Linked DNA regions of Oryctolagus cuniculus. The protein of the gene in region 4 purifies or fractionates together with the protein of the main gene of each other region. This does not show direct contact. Links are inferred from orthologs where the notes say so. Each region holds a gene or a part of one and is shown on either strand. Other genes may lie near its edges. The genes, in order: NUP133, NUP107, NUP98 and NUP43.

Evidence for each region.
Region 1: the proteins of NUP43 (region 4) and NUP133 purify together in Homo sapiens (affinity purification with mass spectrometry; 5 studies listed by BioGRID and IntAct, counting the BioPlex papers as one, with this or other methods). This does not show direct contact. The link is inferred for Oryctolagus cuniculus from reciprocal best matches to the Homo sapiens genes NUP43 and NUP133.
Region 2: the proteins of NUP43 (region 4) and NUP107 purify together in Homo sapiens (affinity purification with mass spectrometry; 8 studies listed by BioGRID and IntAct, counting the BioPlex papers as one, with this or other methods). This does not show direct contact. The link is inferred for Oryctolagus cuniculus from reciprocal best matches to the Homo sapiens genes NUP43 and NUP107.
Region 3: the proteins of NUP43 (region 4) and NUP98 purify together in Homo sapiens (affinity purification with mass spectrometry; 4 studies listed by BioGRID and IntAct, counting the BioPlex papers as one, with this or other methods). This does not show direct contact. The link is inferred for Oryctolagus cuniculus from reciprocal best matches to the Homo sapiens genes NUP43 and NUP98.

Annotation. Positions count from the first base shown.
Region 1 is NC_091444.1:90,254,681-90,259,946, reverse strand, and holds the start of NUP133 (nuclear pore complex protein Nup133), read left to right. Parts: upstream 1-1,694; 5' UTR 1,695-1,801; coding exon 1,802-1,983; intron 1,984-3,846; coding exon 3,847-3,965; intron 3,966-5,266. UniProt on the Homo sapiens protein: Involved in poly(A)+ RNA transport. Involved in nephrogenesis.
Region 2 is NC_091442.1:71,107,682-71,111,285, forward strand, and holds the end of NUP107 (nuclear pore complex protein Nup107), read left to right. Parts: intron 1-1,204; coding exon 1,205-1,372; intron 1,373-2,023; coding exon 2,024-2,131; 3' UTR 2,132-2,398; downstream 2,399-3,604. UniProt on the Homo sapiens protein: Plays a role in the nuclear pore complex (NPC) assembly and/or maintenance. Required for the assembly of peripheral proteins into the NPC. May anchor NUP62 to the NPC. Involved in nephrogenesis.
Region 3 is NC_091432.1:63,189,456-63,194,034, reverse strand, and holds part of NUP98 (nuclear pore complex protein Nup98-Nup96), read right to left. Parts: exon of another isoform or gene 4,402-4,579; intron 4,343-4,401; coding exon 4,160-4,342; intron 3,499-4,159; coding exon 3,342-3,498; intron 137-3,341; coding exon 1-136. UniProt on the Homo sapiens protein: Plays a role in the nuclear pore complex (NPC) assembly and/or maintenance. NUP98 and NUP96 are involved in the bidirectional transport across the NPC. May anchor NUP153 and TPR to the NPC.
Region 4 is NC_091436.1:18,267,475-18,272,643, forward strand, and holds the start of NUP43 (nucleoporin Nup43), read left to right. Parts: upstream 1-2,035; 5' UTR 2,036-2,106; coding exon 2,107-2,226; intron 2,227-2,499; coding exon 2,500-2,622; intron 2,623-4,282; coding exon 4,283-4,360; intron 4,361-5,169. UniProt on the Homo sapiens protein: Component of the Nup107-160 subcomplex of the nuclear pore complex (NPC). The Nup107-160 subcomplex is required for the assembly of a functional NPC.

The DNA.
Region 1 (5,266 bases), on a different chromosome or scaffold from region 4:
AAATAAACCGATTAGGGTTACTTTGTTTCACCCTGTTCCTAGTTCTGCTACTGATCACCTTAAAGAGCTTCCTGGTATTTACCAAGTTTTCCTGTTATTGTTAGTGTTTGTTACTAAGAGTTAATGAGTAAGTCCTAGCAGCTCTGAGATCTCGGGGTAAAGAAGCTAAATAGTTTTGTGCATACCTTGCTTTGCTCTGATAAATTTAAGGAGTTTTAAACTAAGTGTTAAGTTTTGATGATACTGTATCTGTACTTGGATGATGTTAATGATTACCCCATTGTAGTTCAGTAAAAATGAAGAGCAAGAGAAAAAATATAGACTAGGGGTACAAAGGATAAAGGGCTATCTACCCCTGAGAAGATAGCACTGAACTAAAACTAGATGCTTGAGCCAACAGGGGAGGGAAGGGCATTCTAGTGAGAGAAACATGCAAGGGTACTGCAGTAGGATGTGGGTTTTTGAAATTCTTCCAATGTCAAGTGCAGTGGTGGGAATAGCATAGGGACAAAAAAAAAAAAAAAGCCAGAAAGAATTTTTTTAAATGTATTGCTATATTTATTTGCAAAGAAAAGCAATACAGGAGAGACAAAGAGCTGTTCCATCTGTGGATTCAGGTTCACTCCCCAAAGAAGGCAGGGCCACGTGAAGCCAGGAACTGCTTCCTCGGCTCCCACGTGGGTGGCAGGGGCCCAAGTATTTGGGCCATCCTCTGCTGCCTTAGCAGGCGCATTAGCAGGAAGGAGTAGCTGGGACTCAAACTGGCACTCCCATATGGGGTGCCAGCATTGCATTGTGCGTGTAGCATTAATCCACTGCCCCTGCCCCAGCCAGCCAGAATTAAATAACAAAGCATCTGGCAAAGGAATTTAGCAAATAACCCACGGTCATTTTACACGACCAAGATCTTGCAGGTCTGCCTTTACTTAATTGTGTTGGACACACAGGTGGAGTAAGGCTACACAGATTGGAGTAGGGCTACAGAGGCCAGGAGACGCTCCCCTTCCCCCCCAAACGGGCTGTGCAGTGACCCAGGAAGAGGTAAGGAGGGCAGAGTCAGCGCGAATGTGAGAGCTACAGTTCCGGGCATGGTAGGGTGGAGGTCAGCGTGAAGCAGGACCAAGGGCTAGGGCTCTTCTTTTTTACCTTACGGGACAGAGGCGGTAGGAAGACAGGCGTCCTAAAGGGAAACGTGGATTCAGCCTTTAGAAAGAGGATTCTTAGGAGTCTGCAGGCTGCGCAGGAGGGAGTGTGCACTAGGGAGCGGCTGGGGGTCTAGAATTTGGGGTTTGGATCTGGGTTTGCGCGGACGAGACTGTACAGGGTTGTATGGGGAAATGGCAAACCTAGAGAAAAACAAATGGAACATTTCAAGTGAAACCAGAGTCAACTTCACGGTATTTCTCCTCCCAAAGAATGGACTCTAAAATATCTTCCATTTCCCGAGACGCTCAAGAACCACCAGCGTGGGGAAAAGCTTTACGTTCAGGTGCAGGACCAGTGCCACCTAGAGCAGCCGAGAAAGCTCTTAGCTTTTCACTTCCACGCACCTGCAAGGTCGAAAACCCCCCAGCTTGGGATCGCGCGTAAGGGGCCCCCACCTTCTTTTCTACGGACTTAGCGAAACGGCGCCTCGGCGCTAAGCTTGACGTCATCACCGCGCGCCAGCCCATCTCCGTCTACGCCGTCGCGCCGCGCCGCGCCGCCCCGGACGTCATCACTAGGCGCCCCTCCCGCCTCGGGTGTTCAATTTTCAGTCGCAAGTCTTGCTCGTGTTCTACGACTGGAACTTCCTCGGGCCATGTTCCCGGCCGTTCCTTCTCCGCGGACCCCGGGTCCTGGGTCCCGAAGGGGCCCGCCGGCTGGAGTCGGGGCGGGTTCCACGCCCCGAACGGCCAGCCGGCGAGGTCTGTCTCTGGGCTCTGCGGTCAGCTCTCCCGCTCTCTTCTCTCCCGTAGGCCGGCGGAGCTCGCTGAGCTCGCGGTAGGTGGTCGCCCCGGGTTGGTTCCAGCGATTGGTAGGCTTCAGGTCGCGGTGGGCCCGTGAGGTGGGGGTTCTGGAAACCTTGGGCACTAGCAGCAGCCGAGGGTCGGGGGAAGTGGGCTGAATAGACCTTCTCGCGGCTTATTTTAGTGTCACGTGATTAACTTCATACGTTCGGGGAAAACTGGGGTTGGCTTTCAAAAAGTTTCAGTTTATATGACATTTAGCATAAATGGGTCCATTTTGGTTTGTCTGTGTGTTGAGGGCCAGCTCAGGCGAAGTCCAAAACCATGGTTCCCGTAATTTTCATTTAACAGTTTCTACTTAATGCTAAGGGTATTAGCGCTACTCACTATTACTATAATTCTGGCTTTCCAGTCTTATTTGAGAGTTACAGACAGAGAGGGAGAAACAGAGAGAGGTCTTCCATGGCTACGATGGCCAGAGCTGGGCCAGTCTAAAGCCAGGAGCTTTTTCCAGGGAGATTTTGGGTCATGTACTGCTTTCCCAGGCTGTAGCAGAGAGTTGGATCGGAAGAGCAGCCAGGACTCAAACGAGCACCCTATAGGATGCCGGCACTGCAGGCAGAGGCTTAGCCTACTGTGCCTCAGTGCTGGCCCCATTCTGTGTGATCTTGACATAGCAGTTCAGGAAGCCATTAGTTTGTTCATTAAAGTTCTAGAATTTCTTACCCAGTCCAGTGGTAGATTGTAGTTCCAGAAATTGACATTTGAGTCCTTTTGTAAATCTCTTTAAAGAAAAAGTAATATTGGACTGTGGCTCTTTGTAGATGCTTCAAAACCACTCTCTGTCTATGACAAATACTTAGAACAGCCATGACTGGAAATAGGACAGTTCATTATAACCAGCCATTTACAAAATGTAGTTCTTCCTATGATATTCATAAAAACCAGAGTTCAGACTGATAACACTAGATTTATAGGAATCTCATATAATTTTTGGAATACTCAAGTCAATAGGGTATCATAAATATAGCTTAAAGTTTAGCAGCACTTACAGTTTGGTAATGCTTCTAATGTAATTTAACATACAAGTATATCCCTTGTGACTTTGCAGAGATCCAACTGGAAAATCCCAAATTCAAGGTCAAAATCAAAAAGACTCCAGTTGGAGTTTTATTTGGGCATGTTTGTCAAAAATGTTAGAAGATTTAAAACATTTAATTAGATATGATTTTAGTGCTCTGTTTTATCAAGATGATGAAAGATTTTAAAGGCAAATACATTTTGCCTTTCATGACTGTGAACAGAAACTGTACTCATGAAGAAGACTCACACTTTTCTTAAATGGAGAAGCTGAGAGAAGCTTAAGGATCTGATGCCCAGTTTTCTAAGTCCTGAAAAATTTTTTTTATGGAAAAATACATTTAAATACACAGTATACATAAGCCAGTGGTGTTTGTTTTTAAATATTAATTTATTTGAAAAGCAGAGTCAGGGAGGGAGGGAGAGAAAGAGATCTTCCATTCACCGATTCACTCCCCAAAATGGCCACAACAGCCAGAGCTAGGCTGCTCCAAAGCCATGAGCCAGAGTTTCTTCCAGGTCTCTCACATGGGTGCAGGGACTCATATGGGCCATGCTCTGCTGCTTTCCCAGACACATTAACAGGGAGCTGGATTGGAAGTGGAACAGCCGGAACTCGAACCAGCACCCATATAGGATGTCGGGGTCGCAGACGGCAGCTTTACCACCACAACACCGGCCCCAATCCAATGGTTTTTTTTCCACGGTTGCACTTCATGTTGTGTATCAAGATACCTCTGTTGTGTAAATCTAGATAAAAATTAGGATAATGATCCATTGTATGTGATAAATGAAATAGTATGGTTTCTTTCCTTAGAGGAACGCCTACACGAATATTCCCACAGCACTCCATATCTGAGACTGTGAACTACGATGTCAAGACCTTTGGATCTTCTCTCCCTGTCAAAGTCATGGAAGCCCTAACGTTGGCTGAAGGTAGGCATCGTCTTTCCACTCGCCTCTGTTAGCAATTCTGATTGGAGCCCAGATCTGCCATGGAGATGGGCATTTGTGCTTCCTCTGATATACCTACACTTAAGCGAATAGAAATGGCTAGCTGTCTAGTGTTTCAACTGTAATTGAGATACGTAATGAATTTGAGAAGCAGTATGAGTTCATTGTGGCACAGTCACATTCAGTCTTAAGTGGCTTTAGGAACTGTATATGAATAGTTAGTCCAATTTGAAAAGTTGATCAGGTATATGAAGTTTAGTTTTTTAAAAAAAAGGAGTGCCATGCGTTACTTGGCAGTACAGTCAAGTCCTACCTCCATTTCTGGATCCTGTGTAGTACCTGAGAGGCTGTGTACACAAATTCATGAGGTTACCACTGTGATGTGCCTTCAAAAGGTTCTGTTGGCAGAGAAATAGTGTGGCAGTTGGAAGATGCAAAGAATACAAGCTTAGAAAAGCAGCATTAAGGGCCAATAGTGGCAAAATGGGGTAAGCCAACACTTGCGGCACTGGCATCCAGTATCAGATTGTGAGTCCTGGCTACTCCACTTCCTGTCTGCTCCCTGCTAAGTGACCAGGGAAGGCAGTGAAAGAGGACCCAAGTGCTTGCATTTCTGCTATCCACGTGAAAAGACCCAGATGGGGCTCCTGGCTCCTGGCTCCTGGCTCCTGCCTGGTCCACACTTGATTGTTAGGGGAATTTAGGGAGTGGATCTGCTGATGGAGCATTTTGCTCTCTTTCCATTTCTGTCACTCTGCCTTGCAGATAAAGAAAAACAACTTGAAGGTTCAGGAATTCGGCAACAGAGTAACAACAAAATTCAGTGTCCTCAGCATCTGCCTAAGTAATTTCTATTAAGGAATCATTTGCAGATTTTTGTTATTTTCTGGAACAGTGTTTTTCATTGTGGTGACTAAAAAGTAGTTTAGTGGTTCATGGCCAGCATTTAAAAAAAATAGTAAATGGAATAAAATGCAAAATATCAGAGTGAATCTCCAGTAAAACTATTTATACCGTGAATAATAGTTTTGAAAAAGTTTAAAATACTTTGTTCTAGAGGAAGGAATATTTCTCACCAACTTGAACTTTTACATTTTTGCCCATAAGTCCTTGGGGCTTTTGTTTCCAGACAACTAAACTGCTAACCTCTGTCACACATTGTTCTGTTTTAAATAAGTAAATAAAGATACATATATATTTCAGTTTCAATGTGATTAAAGTTTCCATCAAAAATGTGATTAAGGGGCTGGCACTGTGGCATAGCAGGTTAAGCCATGGCCTGC
Region 2 (3,604 bases), on a different chromosome or scaffold from region 4:
TGTTCTCTGTGGTATACTTTATTCATCTTCAGGCTTTTTTGCTATAAAATCCTGTTGTCTACATCCCATGATTGAAGCTCTGCCTTATAAAACCCTGTTTTATTCTTTATTCTTTTTTTTTTTTTTTTTTTTTTTTTTCCGACAGGCAGAGTTAGACAGTAAGAGAGAGAGAGACAGAGAGAAAAGTCTTCCTTCCATTGGTTCACCTCCCAAATGGCCGCTAAGGTCGGTGTGCTGCGCCGATCCGAAGCCAGGAGCCAGGAGCCAGGTGCTTCTCCTGGTCTCCCATGCGGGTGCAGGGCCCAAGCACTTGGGCCATCCTCCACTTCCTTACCGGGCCACAGCAGAGAGCTGGACTGGAAGAGGAACAACCAGGACAGAACTGGCTCCCCAACTGGGACTAGAACCCGGAGTGTCGGCGCGATTAGCCTAATGAGCCACGGCGCCGGCCCTCTTTATTTTTTAAGATTTATTTATTTATTTATTTGAAAAGCAGAGCTACAGAGAGGCAGAGAGAGAAGGAGAGGTCTTCCATCTGCTGGTTCACTCTCCAAATGGCCACAACGGCCAGAGCTGAGCTGATCCGAAGCCAGGATCCAGGAGCTTCTTCCGGGTCTCCCACGTGGGTGCAGGGGCCCAAGGACTTGGGCCATCTTCTACTGCTTTCCCAGGCCATAGCAGAGAGCTGGACAGGAAGTGGAGCAGCCAGGTCTCGACCAGCACCCATATGGGATGCCGGCACTGCAGGCGGTGGCCTTACCCAATACACCATAGTGCCAGCTCCTGTTTTATTCTTAACAGGCATGAAAAGCTTTAGAAAAATGTCTTAGCTTCTGCCTGTTTTGGCTTAGATTCAGGAAAGTTGTCCCTCAGTGTCCTTTGGGGACTGGATCCAGGACCCCCTGCAGATACCTAAGTCCACAGATCCTCATATCCCTTATTCCATAAAACAGTACAGTATTTGCATCTAACCCCAATACGTCTTCCTGTAAATTTTATGTTATCTCTATATTATAAACCTAATAGAAGTGCTCTGTAAGTAATTGTCACATGGGGATACGACAAGGAGAGAAATGTGTAGTCTCCAGTTGGCTAAATCCACAGCTTTGGAACCCATGGACATGGAGGGGGCTGGCTTAGTCTTGCTGCTTTATCGGGCTGCTTTGGCTTGTGGTTGTTGAAGTGCCTGTTGGTGTCCGTGTAGGATGCTGAGGAAGACCATGAAAGAACGCACCAGATGGCTTTGCTGAGAAAGCTCTGCCTGCCCATGCTGTGCTTTCTGCTGCACACCATCCTGCACAGCACCGGCCAGCACCAGGAGTGCCTGCAGCTAGCAGATATGGTGTCCTCCGAGCGCCACAAACTGTATCTGGTAAGTGCTGGAGCGCGTGCAGCCTGCAACTGGGATTCCACTCTCCTCCGCTTTGTGAAGGTGTGTTTGCGTTTTTCAGTTGCTCTTGGGTTTTCTGAAGGTAGTGGTCCAGTTTTAATATGTGTGCTTTCTTCCTCTGAAACATGTATATGCATTCAGCAGAAGCTAGAAGTTCTTTGATTTTTTAAAGTTTTTATTTCTTTATTTGAAAGGCAAAAGGACAGAGAGAGGGAAAGAGATATCTTCCATCTGCTGGTTCACTCCCCAAGTATCTGCAGTAACCAGGGCTGGGCCAGGATTCTGGAATTCCATCTGGGTCTCCCATGTGGGTGGCAGGGACCCAAGAACTTATTGGTCCGTCATCTGTTTCCTCCCAGGCACATTAGCAGGAGGAAGCCTGATTGAAAGCAGAGGAGCCAGGACTCAGACCGACACTCCCAGATGGAATCCTGGTGTCCTAAGCTGTGGCTTACCCACTGCACCGGAACACCCACCTAGACGTTATAGACCAAGAAAAATAGTCCCTCAGCTTCTCTGACAAGGCTGTGGTCACAAAATCCTTCAAAAGGAACTTCTTGTATGAAGCTAGTAATTGATTAGGTAACTACAAGTTCATATTTTCATCATTACTTTTTTCTCTTTTAAAATCAGGTATTTTCTAAGGAAGAACTAAGGAAATTGCTGCAGAAGTTAAGGGAATCCTCGCTGATGCTTCTTGACCAGGGACTTGATCCTCTAGGATATGAAATTCAGTCGTAATTCGTCCAAGCTTTGTATGCCTACTAATTTCCAGGGTGAATGGGGAGGTTTTTTTATATATATATTAAAATATACATATTTGTAATTACGGGATTTTCTTTTGCATCATTTTGGGAAAAGATGTAAAATTTAGACATTTGAATTTTGTATTTTTCAGAATATTATGGTAACACTTTGAAAATTTAATGTATTATATCAGTATTTCCCTAATTGTGTTTTTTAATAAAAGCATATAAAAATTAAAATATTCTGATCTTACAAATTCAAGAATTGTCTATTATGTAATAGGGAACTTAAATTTCTTGTGGTTTTTTTGCTATAATTTTAAGTACACTGGTATCTTAAAATTATAAAGAAAATGGAAAGTAGATTCATTTTCAAGTTGGGTACATAATTTATCGTAAAATTTAATATAAAATTAATCATAACATTTTTAATTTTTTTTAAAGACTTATTTATTTATTTGAAAGTTAGAGTTACACAGAGAGAGGAGAGGCAGAGAGAGAGGTCTTCCATCCAATGATTCACTCCCCAGACGGCCGCAACAGCCGGAGCTGCACTGATCCGAAGCCAGGAGCCAGGAGCTTCTTCCGGGTCTCTCACGTGGGTGCAGAGGCCCAAGGACCTGGGCCATCTTGTACTGCTTTCCCAGGCCATAGCAGAGAGCTGGATTGGAAGAGGAGCAGCTGGGACTAGAACCAGCGCCCATATGGGATGCTGGTCTTCAGGCCAGGGCGTTAACCTGCTGTGCCACAGCGCCGGCCCAACATTTTTAATTTTTAAATATGGAAATTAAGATGAATGTAGCAAGAGTGTTTTCAAAATAATACTATGCTTTTATTTTGAAGATATATCTACTTATTCAGCAAATGTATTGAGATCGGTTGGAGCATGTAAGTCTTGGTACACAGTAGGCACTGAACACAGTGGGAAATACAAAATGAATAAGATCTATTCTAGCCCTCCAGTGGGGATATATATGTGTGCCATGTGATATACTGTATAAAAATAAATGTAAGATATGCTATTCAGATCTGAGCTGGAAGAAACTATCTCCAGCCAACAGATCTCTGAGCAACAGCACTGGGGCTGAGATTTGAGTAAGGTGCTGAATTTTCCAAGATAAAAAAATAAGACAGAAGGAGAGTGAGCTCCTATAGATGAGGAGTCAGTATGAGAAAAGCCCAGAAACAGTAAATGTTGGGCATGTTTCTGAACCAGCAAATATGCTGAATTGGCTAGCATGTGGAGCTTATGAACGGGAGGTAACTAAAAGAGAGAATGTGGTTGTCATAGAAAATATGATCTTACTGAATAAGATCTTTAAAAACTTAAAAAAAAAAGAGAGAGAGAGAAGAGAAAAAGAAAAAGATGCCCTGGAATCTTAACTCCCAGAGCTGGCTTCTGATCTGAGTCACCTCGGCGACGTCTGGCTCTGGCAGCCTGGGCTGGGATCACAGAATCTGTTTAAAT
Region 3 (4,579 bases), on a different chromosome or scaffold from region 4:
GGTGGAGGGACAGACCAAGGGGATGTGGACGGGATATTCATTAAAGATGATGCTCTGGGAGTGTGAAATTCTTGCACAGAGGCACTTGGTGAAAGAAAAGTTCCACTTGTAAATTTTGATTGCAGTAATCCACCACCTGAAGTGGGGAAAAAAATTATTACTACCTATTATTTCCTGAACAACAAAAGTCAGCAAAGTTGAAATCATCAGCTAACTAAATCAGACACACATGACCAGAAGGAAGTTAGATCATCTTTTGCAGCAACTACTCTTTCAACCAGGAAATCAAAGCAGCAACTATAATGATGATGGTGTCAACAATAAGAGCAATAATATTAACAAACAATACACTAAAATTTTTGAAAAATTATTTAGAGCTTATTTGTAGCATGCTCTACAAGCATCTGTGCACATTATTATTTCATTTCATTCTACAGTAACTTTAGACAGGAAGAATTATCACCACCCCATTTTTGTAAGTAAGAAAACTGGTTTCAAGTAAGTGGTAGCTTGTACAAACTCAAAAAATCTACCAAATACCAGGACTGGCAGGGAAAGTACAGGGAGGTCTGTTACCAGTACTAAGCCCATACCAAAATCCCAAATGTGGGGGGCAGGCATTGCAGAGCAGTGTGTTAAGTCACTGCCTATGATACCAATGCTTTATTGGAGCATTGGTTCAAGTCCCAGGTACACTCCTTCTAGTCCAGCTCCCTGCCAATACATCTTGGAAAGCAGCAGCAGATGGCCCAAGTACTTGCAGCCCCTGCCATCCACATGGGAGACCTGGATGGGGTTCCTGGCTCATGGCTTTGGTCTGACTCAGCCTCGGCCCTTGATGTCATTTGGGGAGAGAACCAATGGACTGAAGATCTCTCTCTCTCTCGTTTCTCCCTTTCCCTCTGTCATTCTGCTTTTCATATAATTAATTATATTATATAATATATATTAATTATATAATTATAAATAATAAAAACTTTAAATAAAAATTCCAAATGTGTGAAGATTACACATGGTTAATTCTTATATATTTATGTTACTAAAAACACACACACACACATACACACACAACAAATCCATGATAGGATTTTGGATGTTTTTTAAAGAACTGTTAAATGTTTGAACAGAGATGTATTTCCCCTGAGTGGACATTACACAATCTATAAATGTATCAAAAAGTCAAATGGAACACCATGTCTGATAAAAGGAGACAGGACTGTGGCACAGCAGGTTATGTTGCTGCCTCTAATACCAGGATCCCATGGGTGCTGGTTTGAGTCCCACCTGCTCCACTTCTAATGCAGTTCCCTTTTAATGCATCTGGGAAAGCAACAGAAGATGGTTTAAGTACTTGGGAGATACACCCATGTGGGAGACCTGCACGAAATTCCAGACTCCTGGGTTTGGCCTGGCTCAGTTCCATTGTTGCAGACATTTGGGGGTCTCAAAGAGCAGATGGAAGCTTTCTATCTCTCTTTCAAATAAATAAGTAAATAAATCTTTTTAAAAAATTCAAAATAACTTTCTTAGTCCTTATAAGAGCTTAGTAAGATCAAAGATCAAAACTCAAATTCCTACCTTCTGTTACGAGTTAAAGAAAAAAATATTGAAAATTCTTATGATTGCACATGTACTTTTCTGAGGAAAAGTTCTTATTAGAATTGCCTAATCCGGGCCGGCGCCGCGGCTCACTAGGCTAATCCTCCGCCTAGCGGCGCCGGCACACCGGGTTCTAGTCCCGGTCGGGGCGCCGGATTCTGTCCCGGTTGCCCCTCTTCCAAGCCAGCCCTCTGCTGTGGCCAGGGAGTGCAGTGGAGGATGGCCCAGGTGCTTGGGCCCTGCACCCACATGGGAGACCAGGAAAAGCACCTGGCTCCTGGTTCCTGCCATCGGATCAGCGCGGTGCGCCGGCCGCAGCGCGCCGGCCGTGGCAGCCATTGGAGGGTGAACCAACGGCAAAGGAAGACCTTTCTCTCTGTCTCTCTCTCTCTCACTGTCCACTCTGCCTGTCAAAAATAAAAAAAAAAAAAAATAAAAAAATAAAAAAAAAAAAAAGAATTGCCTAATCCACAATTTTTTAAAAGGATTTATTAACTGAATTGTCTGAAAAGCAGAGTGACAAAGACTTAGAGAGACCCCAAGAAAGAGAGAGAAATGTCTTTAACCTGCTTATTCATTCCCCAGATGGCCACAACAGCCAGGTTTGTGCTAGGTCAAACTCAGGAGTCAGAAACTTCATCCCAGTCTCCCAGAAGGGTGGCAGCAGCCCAAGCAATTGGGCCATCATCCACTGCCTTCCCAGCTGCATTAGCAAGAAGATGGATTGAAAGTGGAGCAGTAGCCGTGCCGCCGTTGCTCTCTAACGCCAGCGCGGCCTCTCGCTCGCCGAGCTCCAGCTGAAGGAGAAGTGTGGTAAGTAGGGAGGTCTTTATACCATGGCTCATACAGGGCAGACTGCCGCAAATTGACTGGTGGTAAAGCACCCAGGAAGCAACTGGCTACAAAAGCCGCTCGCAAGAGTGCGCCCTCTACTGGAGGGGTAAAAAAAAAAAAAGTGGAGCAGCATGGGGCCAGAGCTGTGGCATGGCAGGTAAAGCCGCTGCCCCCACTGCCAACATCCCATATGGGTGCCGGTTTGAGTTTTGGGAGCCAGGAATTCAATCCCAGGTAGCAGAGATACAACTATATAAGCCATCACCTGCTGCCTCCCAGGGAACTTGAATGGATTCCAATCCAGAAATTTCATTATAGTATGCAAGTATCCCAAATGACATCTTAACTGCTGCTCCAATGACCACAACTTAATATTCACTTAACTGTTCAAGTGTTCTGTTTATAGTAATACCCTACCTCCAATTCCACCAAGTTACTAGTCCACTAGGCAAAAAGCTTAGGGAAAATTGGAATCTTGAATCTTGATGAATTCTATGAATTATCAAAAGGCAAAGATTTCCTCATAAGGCACTGAGATAGCATTAGGACTACACAGAGAGTCCAATGTAGGACAACTTGTTAAATCCTCAAAGTAACTTGTGATAAAAATTTGGAAATTGGAACTTATTTAATTCATACTCATAAGCAAACAAAAGCATGACCCTAAGCAAAGCACAAATACTATACTCTCCATACAATTTCTGCATCTTCACCAACAGAAGTAATTATAGTTCTTAAAAAACTGGACACTCCTAATATAAGAGTGTGAGCTCTCTTAACATTCTTATGTCAGAGGTATGGCTGTTAGGGAGATACATTCTGGAAATCTACTCAGCACAGGAGATATATGAAACGTGGAACTTGATGACTCTACAGCTTTCTTGTAAAACAGCGTATTTATACAATACCTAGTGAACGAGATTTTGATGGGTGGGATGCTGAAATGGGGAGTCTGGGAGAACAGATTTCTTGAGAAGCATCTGCTTTGGAAGGAACATGACTGAAGCGCTGATCCAGCATCATGTCTATATCTTCTTCATCAGCAAGCAGTGATGCTTTCATGATCTAAAAAGGCAATATGTATATACACAGACACACAATGAATGTGCTCTCTGAAACTGAAAGGCTACTAAAAGATACAGTTTACAACAACCAAAAAAAATTACTTCTTAAGATAGTGTCCAGAAATACTGTAATATTTGTGTTACTGATTTCATTACAATGTGTCTCACCAGAACCTGGCATATAGCAACTGCTGAGGTCTTAATAAATAATTTTAAAATCAAACATAAGCACAAGCCAAAAGCTAAACTCATGCCTTTTGGCATGGGCAAGGTGAAGTAGAGACAGGGTTTACAGAAACTTTAAAATTTTGTGGAACACTTTACAAAGCCTCAAAAACAACCTTCAAAGTAGAAAAAGTTATGTTTTACAGAAGTCAGTGCTCACAGACGTTAAATGACTGTCACACAGTAATAAATTCACAAAACTGGGATTAGAATCCAGATCACCTGATACTAATACCCTTAAAAAACCAGAAGCTCTACATCCCAATATATCTTTCTTTCCCTGAATGGGAAAATGATGCCCAAACACTGACCAAATTCTTATTTTTGTTTTCCTCATACAGTGACCACTCGACAGTCTTATTAAGCCTGGTGTTACTCAAGAGAGATAAAATATTAGTTGGGCTATCTGTTGTAATAACTGTGGATTAGGACATCACCTGTAAAACATGTGGATTAATTCCCAGTGAAGATGCAATGTGCGTGGAAGCAGACACAGGTTCCTGATCTTCAGGCACGCTCTCTTCTAACATGGAATCCAAAACTGGCTCCTGGGTGATATCTATCATGTCACTGTCCAGTTCCACAACCCTCCCTAACTGTTCCACCTCTGGACTCTGACTCTGTAGACAGCAGAAACATCAGGGAAGCAGCATTAAATTAAACCAAATAAACACGGAGCTTCTAGATCAGATTCAGTTTATTCAGAATATGATACAGCAATGTTAGATTTTACCAATTCCATCATGAGGTGCTGAAGAGGATTTAACAGTAATTATCCCAATACCCACCAATAAGTACTTGGCATCTGAATGAGGATTCATGGAATCATTCTTTTGTAATAAGTGATAGTCTTTAGA
Region 4 (5,169 bases):
GGTCTCCTGCGCGGTCCGGGCGCCGGGCGCGGCGGCGGGATGACGGGGCCGATCTGTGCCGTGGCCGTTGGTGGCTCCGCAGTCGGCGCTGTGTCACCTGAGGCGAGCGGCGGGGCTGCTCCTATAGCGGTCCAGATTGTTAGACGGTGGGCTCCCTCCGTCCCGCCTCACCCAACCCCGTCGACTAATATTTGGGTCGATTAGAGTCAAGGCTGGAGTGACGGCGCCGAAATGATGCTCTTAATCGAGCCCCAAGGGCGAGGACCCTCTGCGACCCGAGAACACCAGCCTCCGGCTTTATGACAGGCGCACCCCTGTTTGGTTATGCAGAAACAGTGGGAGCCAGGGAGAAAAAACTGAGACTGGGGCGTGCGGTGAGGCGGGGATGCTTCGCTCCTTTAGAGCAAACGTAAAAAGCTGCAACCGGTGGAAAACGCCCCAGTGTCCTATGGTGAATGTGTGGTTCTCCCAACGCAAGTGTGCGTTGTCAGTAAACGGAGCCTCACGGATTCCGCTGTGAGGCTGGGCTCGAACCGTGCCCAAGCCCGGGATGGGGAAACTGCCTGTGGCGTCCAAGCTGCAGACTGCGAGCTAGCACGGAGTCTGACAGAATGCAGCCGTCGTTTAGGTCATTCGGTAAACGTTTAGGAAAGAAACAAAGCTGTGTCACCGCGTCTAAGCTCTTAGATCAGCAGCAGTTTTCAAGTTCTCGCGCTTACCAGGTTCTGTCGAATGTGACACTGTTCAAAAATACGCATGTCCTCTTGTCGGGGTTCTGTGGTCGTAAACGAGCCCACACGCAATTGTTCTTTCCGTGGATATATGATAGGAATGAAATTGTCGACTTGGGGCTCATCCGCTTCCCGGGCGCCCGTTCCGTCTCTCCGCAGACGGCTGGCGATCTTCGGCTGCAGAGCAGACCCTGGTAACTCTCACCGAAGCCGGCCGCGGCGGTTACGTTTCGTCCACTCCTTGCACAAACTGTCCCGGTGAAGTGGGACCCCCGACCTCGTAAACCGGCAGCCCGGCACGGCCCCCTTTAAAGAGACAACATATAGTTATGAATACAGCGGTGTAAGAGAGTTGCCAAGGTGGAATAAATCATACCTCTTGGAATCAGTAGGATTTCCACGCTAAGGAGCTTTGGAAAAGGAAACCAGAAACGGGGCAAAATGCGTGCTCTTAGTGATGCAGATACGAAACGTTCTGTTTTATTCTCCTCCTCATCCTCCGCTGAGGCCGTCAGGGAAAGGGTGAAGGGTGGACAGGATTCTGAGAGGAGGAGTGGAAAGGTATTTTAGCCATAACCAAAGGCACTAAAGGAACCCGCAGCACTCATGCCCCAGGCTGTGGACGTTAGGTATCACAAAATCCGTTCTTAATTATGTAATGGAAGTGGAGCCGGTGTTGTGGCACAGTGGTTTTAGCCGCCGATTTGCGTCCTGGCTGTTCCCAGCTTTGACCTGACCCAGCCCTGGCCTAAGCCACCATTTGGGGAGTGAGCCAGCGGATGGAAGAGCTCCCTCTGTGTGTGTGTCTCTCCCTCTCTCTGCAACTCTGCCTTTGAAATAAATCTTTTCTTAAAAAATTACGTATGTAAGTGAGTTGACCAAGGTTACAGTTAGGTAACCTTAGGTAACTGGCAGCAGAACTAAAACTGGAGTCAAAGGTTTAGGATAATAAATTCGTACTTTATTGGAAATAGTGCCATGAAGATTGAAGGATTTTGAGTTGTTTGCTATGCATAGTGACAAGCAGCTGATGTGCCTGCAAGGTGGTTTCCCACGCAGTGATTTTGTTCTTAAGTTATTGCACAAGCACGTTGTCTCCATGTTCCTCCTCTGCATTTGCATGTCGGGTGCAGATCCCACTGCACATAGGCCGGGGCACTCTTGGTTTTGCTCAAAGCCACCTCGCTGATCATGGGCGCCTCAGACCCCTCCTGGTCCGGGCCCGGCAGTGCCTGCACCGCCTTCCGCTGGGAATTGGCCCTTCGCGGCCGCCGTCGCCCGGCGAGCTCCCATCCAATCAGAGCTCCGCGGGAAGGGGCGGAACCCGGAGGCGCGCGGCGCGCGGCTGGCTGTGCCTGCTGCTGTTGCTTTCAGCATGGAGGAGCTGTATGCCAAGTTTGTGTCTGAGAAAATCAGCAAAACCCGCTGGCGGCCGGTGCCTCCGGGGAGCCTGCAGACCGCCGAGACCTTTGCCACGGGCTCTTGGGACAATGAGGTACCCTGGCTCCGGGGCGGGACCCCGGGGCTCCGTCCTCTCCCACGCCCAGGTGCCCTGGAGCGCGCGACTTTCCATCCTCCCCGGCCCCGGGTCCGGGGGCTCGGCTGCAGCCAGCGTGGGTGTGCCCGAGCCCCCGTCTTCTTGTTTCACATTCTGCCCATGCCGTGTGAGATGCTTTGGAGCCCAGGTTGCCTTAAGGCGATACGCATTGGGTTTACTTTCCAGAGTTGACGGTTCTGTCATCTCAAGATGAAGCCGTTTGCTTTACAGGAGAATCACGTTTCACTGTGGTCTATCGGAGATTTCGGAAACCCGGACTCTGATGGAAGCCTGGAAGGAGACCATCGACTGTTGTGCGATATCAAACACCATGGTGACGTCATGGACTTACAGGTAAACGCGTCCAGTGCCCAGAGGCTCGCTTCTAAAGAAAGCCAGAGCAGTGCATTTAGAGTGCAGAGACCTGAGAGCTCTCCTGGCCTCACCCCTAGTTTACAGGAAAGCGAGTTCTCCATAGGTTAGGATTTACCCAACGTAGACTGATCACTTAGTGGCACAACCTCCCAGCTGCAAGCGATTTTTTTATTTTATTATTATTATTTTTTTTTTGACAGGCAAAGTTAGTGAGAGAGACAGGTCTTCCTTCCGTTGGTTCACCCCTCAAATGGCCACCTCGGACGGCGCTGCACCGATCCGAAGCCAGGAGCCAGGTGCCTCCTCCTGGTCTCCCATGCGGGTGCAGGGCCCAAGCACTTGGGCCATCCTCCACTGCCTTTCCGGGCCACAGCAGAGAGCTGGACTGCAAGAGGAGCAACCGGGACAGAATCCGGCGCCCCAGCCGGGACTAGAACCCGGTGTGCCGGCGCCGCAGGCGGAGGATTAGCCTATTGAGCTGCGGTGCCGGCCTGCAAGTGATATTTTTGGAGTTTTACATAAGACCGTTTAATTCTAATTACATGTCTGTGAGTCAGTATTGTTATTTCTATTTTGCCCGTGAGAATGCTAAGAATATTATCTTTCGAGCACACACTGCTAAGGATCTCAAAGTTCATGGAAAATGCATATTATAGATAAACTATGCATGGGCTTTTAAAAATTTTGCACTAGAATGCATTATCTTTTAATTTCATTTTCCATAAACTTCTTGAATTATCCTCATTTGTGACAAATACTGTGCAGGGTAGGTCTTTTAAATTTTTTGATTTCTCATAACCCACCCTGAGTAGGATTAGTACTCCCTGTTTAAAAATACAGATTTTTAAAAATTTACTTATTTGAGAGGTAGAGTTAGAGACAGAGAGAAAGTTCTCGATCTGCTGGTTCACTCCCCAAATGGCTGCAATGGCCATAACTGGGCTGATCTGAAGCCAGGAGCTTCTTCCCAGTCTCCCATGCGGGTGCAGGGGTCCAAGGACTTGGGCCATCCTCTACTGCTTTCTCAGACCATAGCAGAGGGCCGGGTCAGAAGAGGAGCAGCCAGGATGGAAACCAGGGTGCGTGTGAGATGTTGGCCCTGCAGGCGGAAGCTTAGCCTATTGTACCACAGCAGTGGCCTCAGGGAAATTTCTTTTTTAATGTATTTGTTAGAGCTCCCATCAACTGGCTCATTCACCAAAGCCTGCGTCAATCAGGAGCCAAGAGCCAGGAACTCAGTCCAGGTCTCCCATGTGGGTAGCATGGACCCAATTACTTGAGTCATTACCATTGCTTTGCAGGACCTGCGTTAACAGGAAGCTGAAATAAGGAGCCAGAACTGGGTGTTGAACACAGGCATTCTGAACTTGGGCATCTCAACCCAACATCATAGCAAGCCAAATGCCCACCACATTCCAAGGCTTAGAGAATTTAACTTGGCCAACCATTTATTCCTCATGAAAATACCTTTATTTGTATAGCAATGTTAACTTTTAGATCTAACAAATGTTATTTGGGTAGCACTTACAGGCTTTTTACCTTTTACAGTTACGTAATTTGCTATAAATTCAGTTAAACAACGGGTTTCCTCCCTACTAGTTTTTCTGAATCTATAATAAGCAGGAATTTTTCTGTTTAGTTTTTTGACCAGGAAAGAATTGTAGCTGCTTCATCAACAGGATGTGTAACAATTTTCCTTCACCATCCAAATAACCAGGTAAAGAACTTTGGTTTGAAAAGTGAATTTGTATTTTAGTTATTTTTAGAAAGGTGTAAGGAAAACCGTATTTAATAGTTTTAAAGCCTTACGATATGAAGGGGGGGAAAATATCATTACTTTTTGCGAATGTAATTCTAGAACCATGTTTTTGTGAGTTGTTTGTTTGTTTGTTTGTTTGTTTTTGAAAGAGAATTACAGAGAAAGGAGGGGAAAGACAGAAACAGAAAGGTCTTCCTTCCACTGGTTCATTTCTCAGTGGCTGCATCAGCCAGGGGTGGGCCAGACCAAAGCCAGAAGTCAGGAGTTTCTTCCAGGTCTCCTGCTTGGGTGCAGGGGCTCAAGCACTTGGGCCATCCTCTACTGCTTTCCCAGGCCATTAGCAGGGAGCTAAATGGGAAGTGAAGCAGCCAGGACTTGAACCATTGCCCATATGAGATGCCGGCATTGTAGGTGGTGGCTTTACCTGCTACGCCACAGCGCCAGCCCTGTGAGCTGTTATTGAAATTGGGTAAACCTGCAATGCATTCTGTTAGTTTGGATGAAGCAATATGGTAATTTGGCAGGTAATTTTCCATAATTCTTTAAGTTCCTATTCTAGTCTTTTGAAGAAAGAGCCTCTTTTAGCTCAGATACTGTAGCAGAGAACAGGATCGGCTGTCTTGCCTCTGTGGATAGAACTCAGGTCTGCAATTGAAGCCAGCATCTGCTGTATGAAGACATGACTTATTTTTCAGTACTTTCTTGTGTGCTAAAGCCCATCAGGCCCAGCCTGCAGAACCTACTGGTGCAGGCAGTTCCTTAAAACA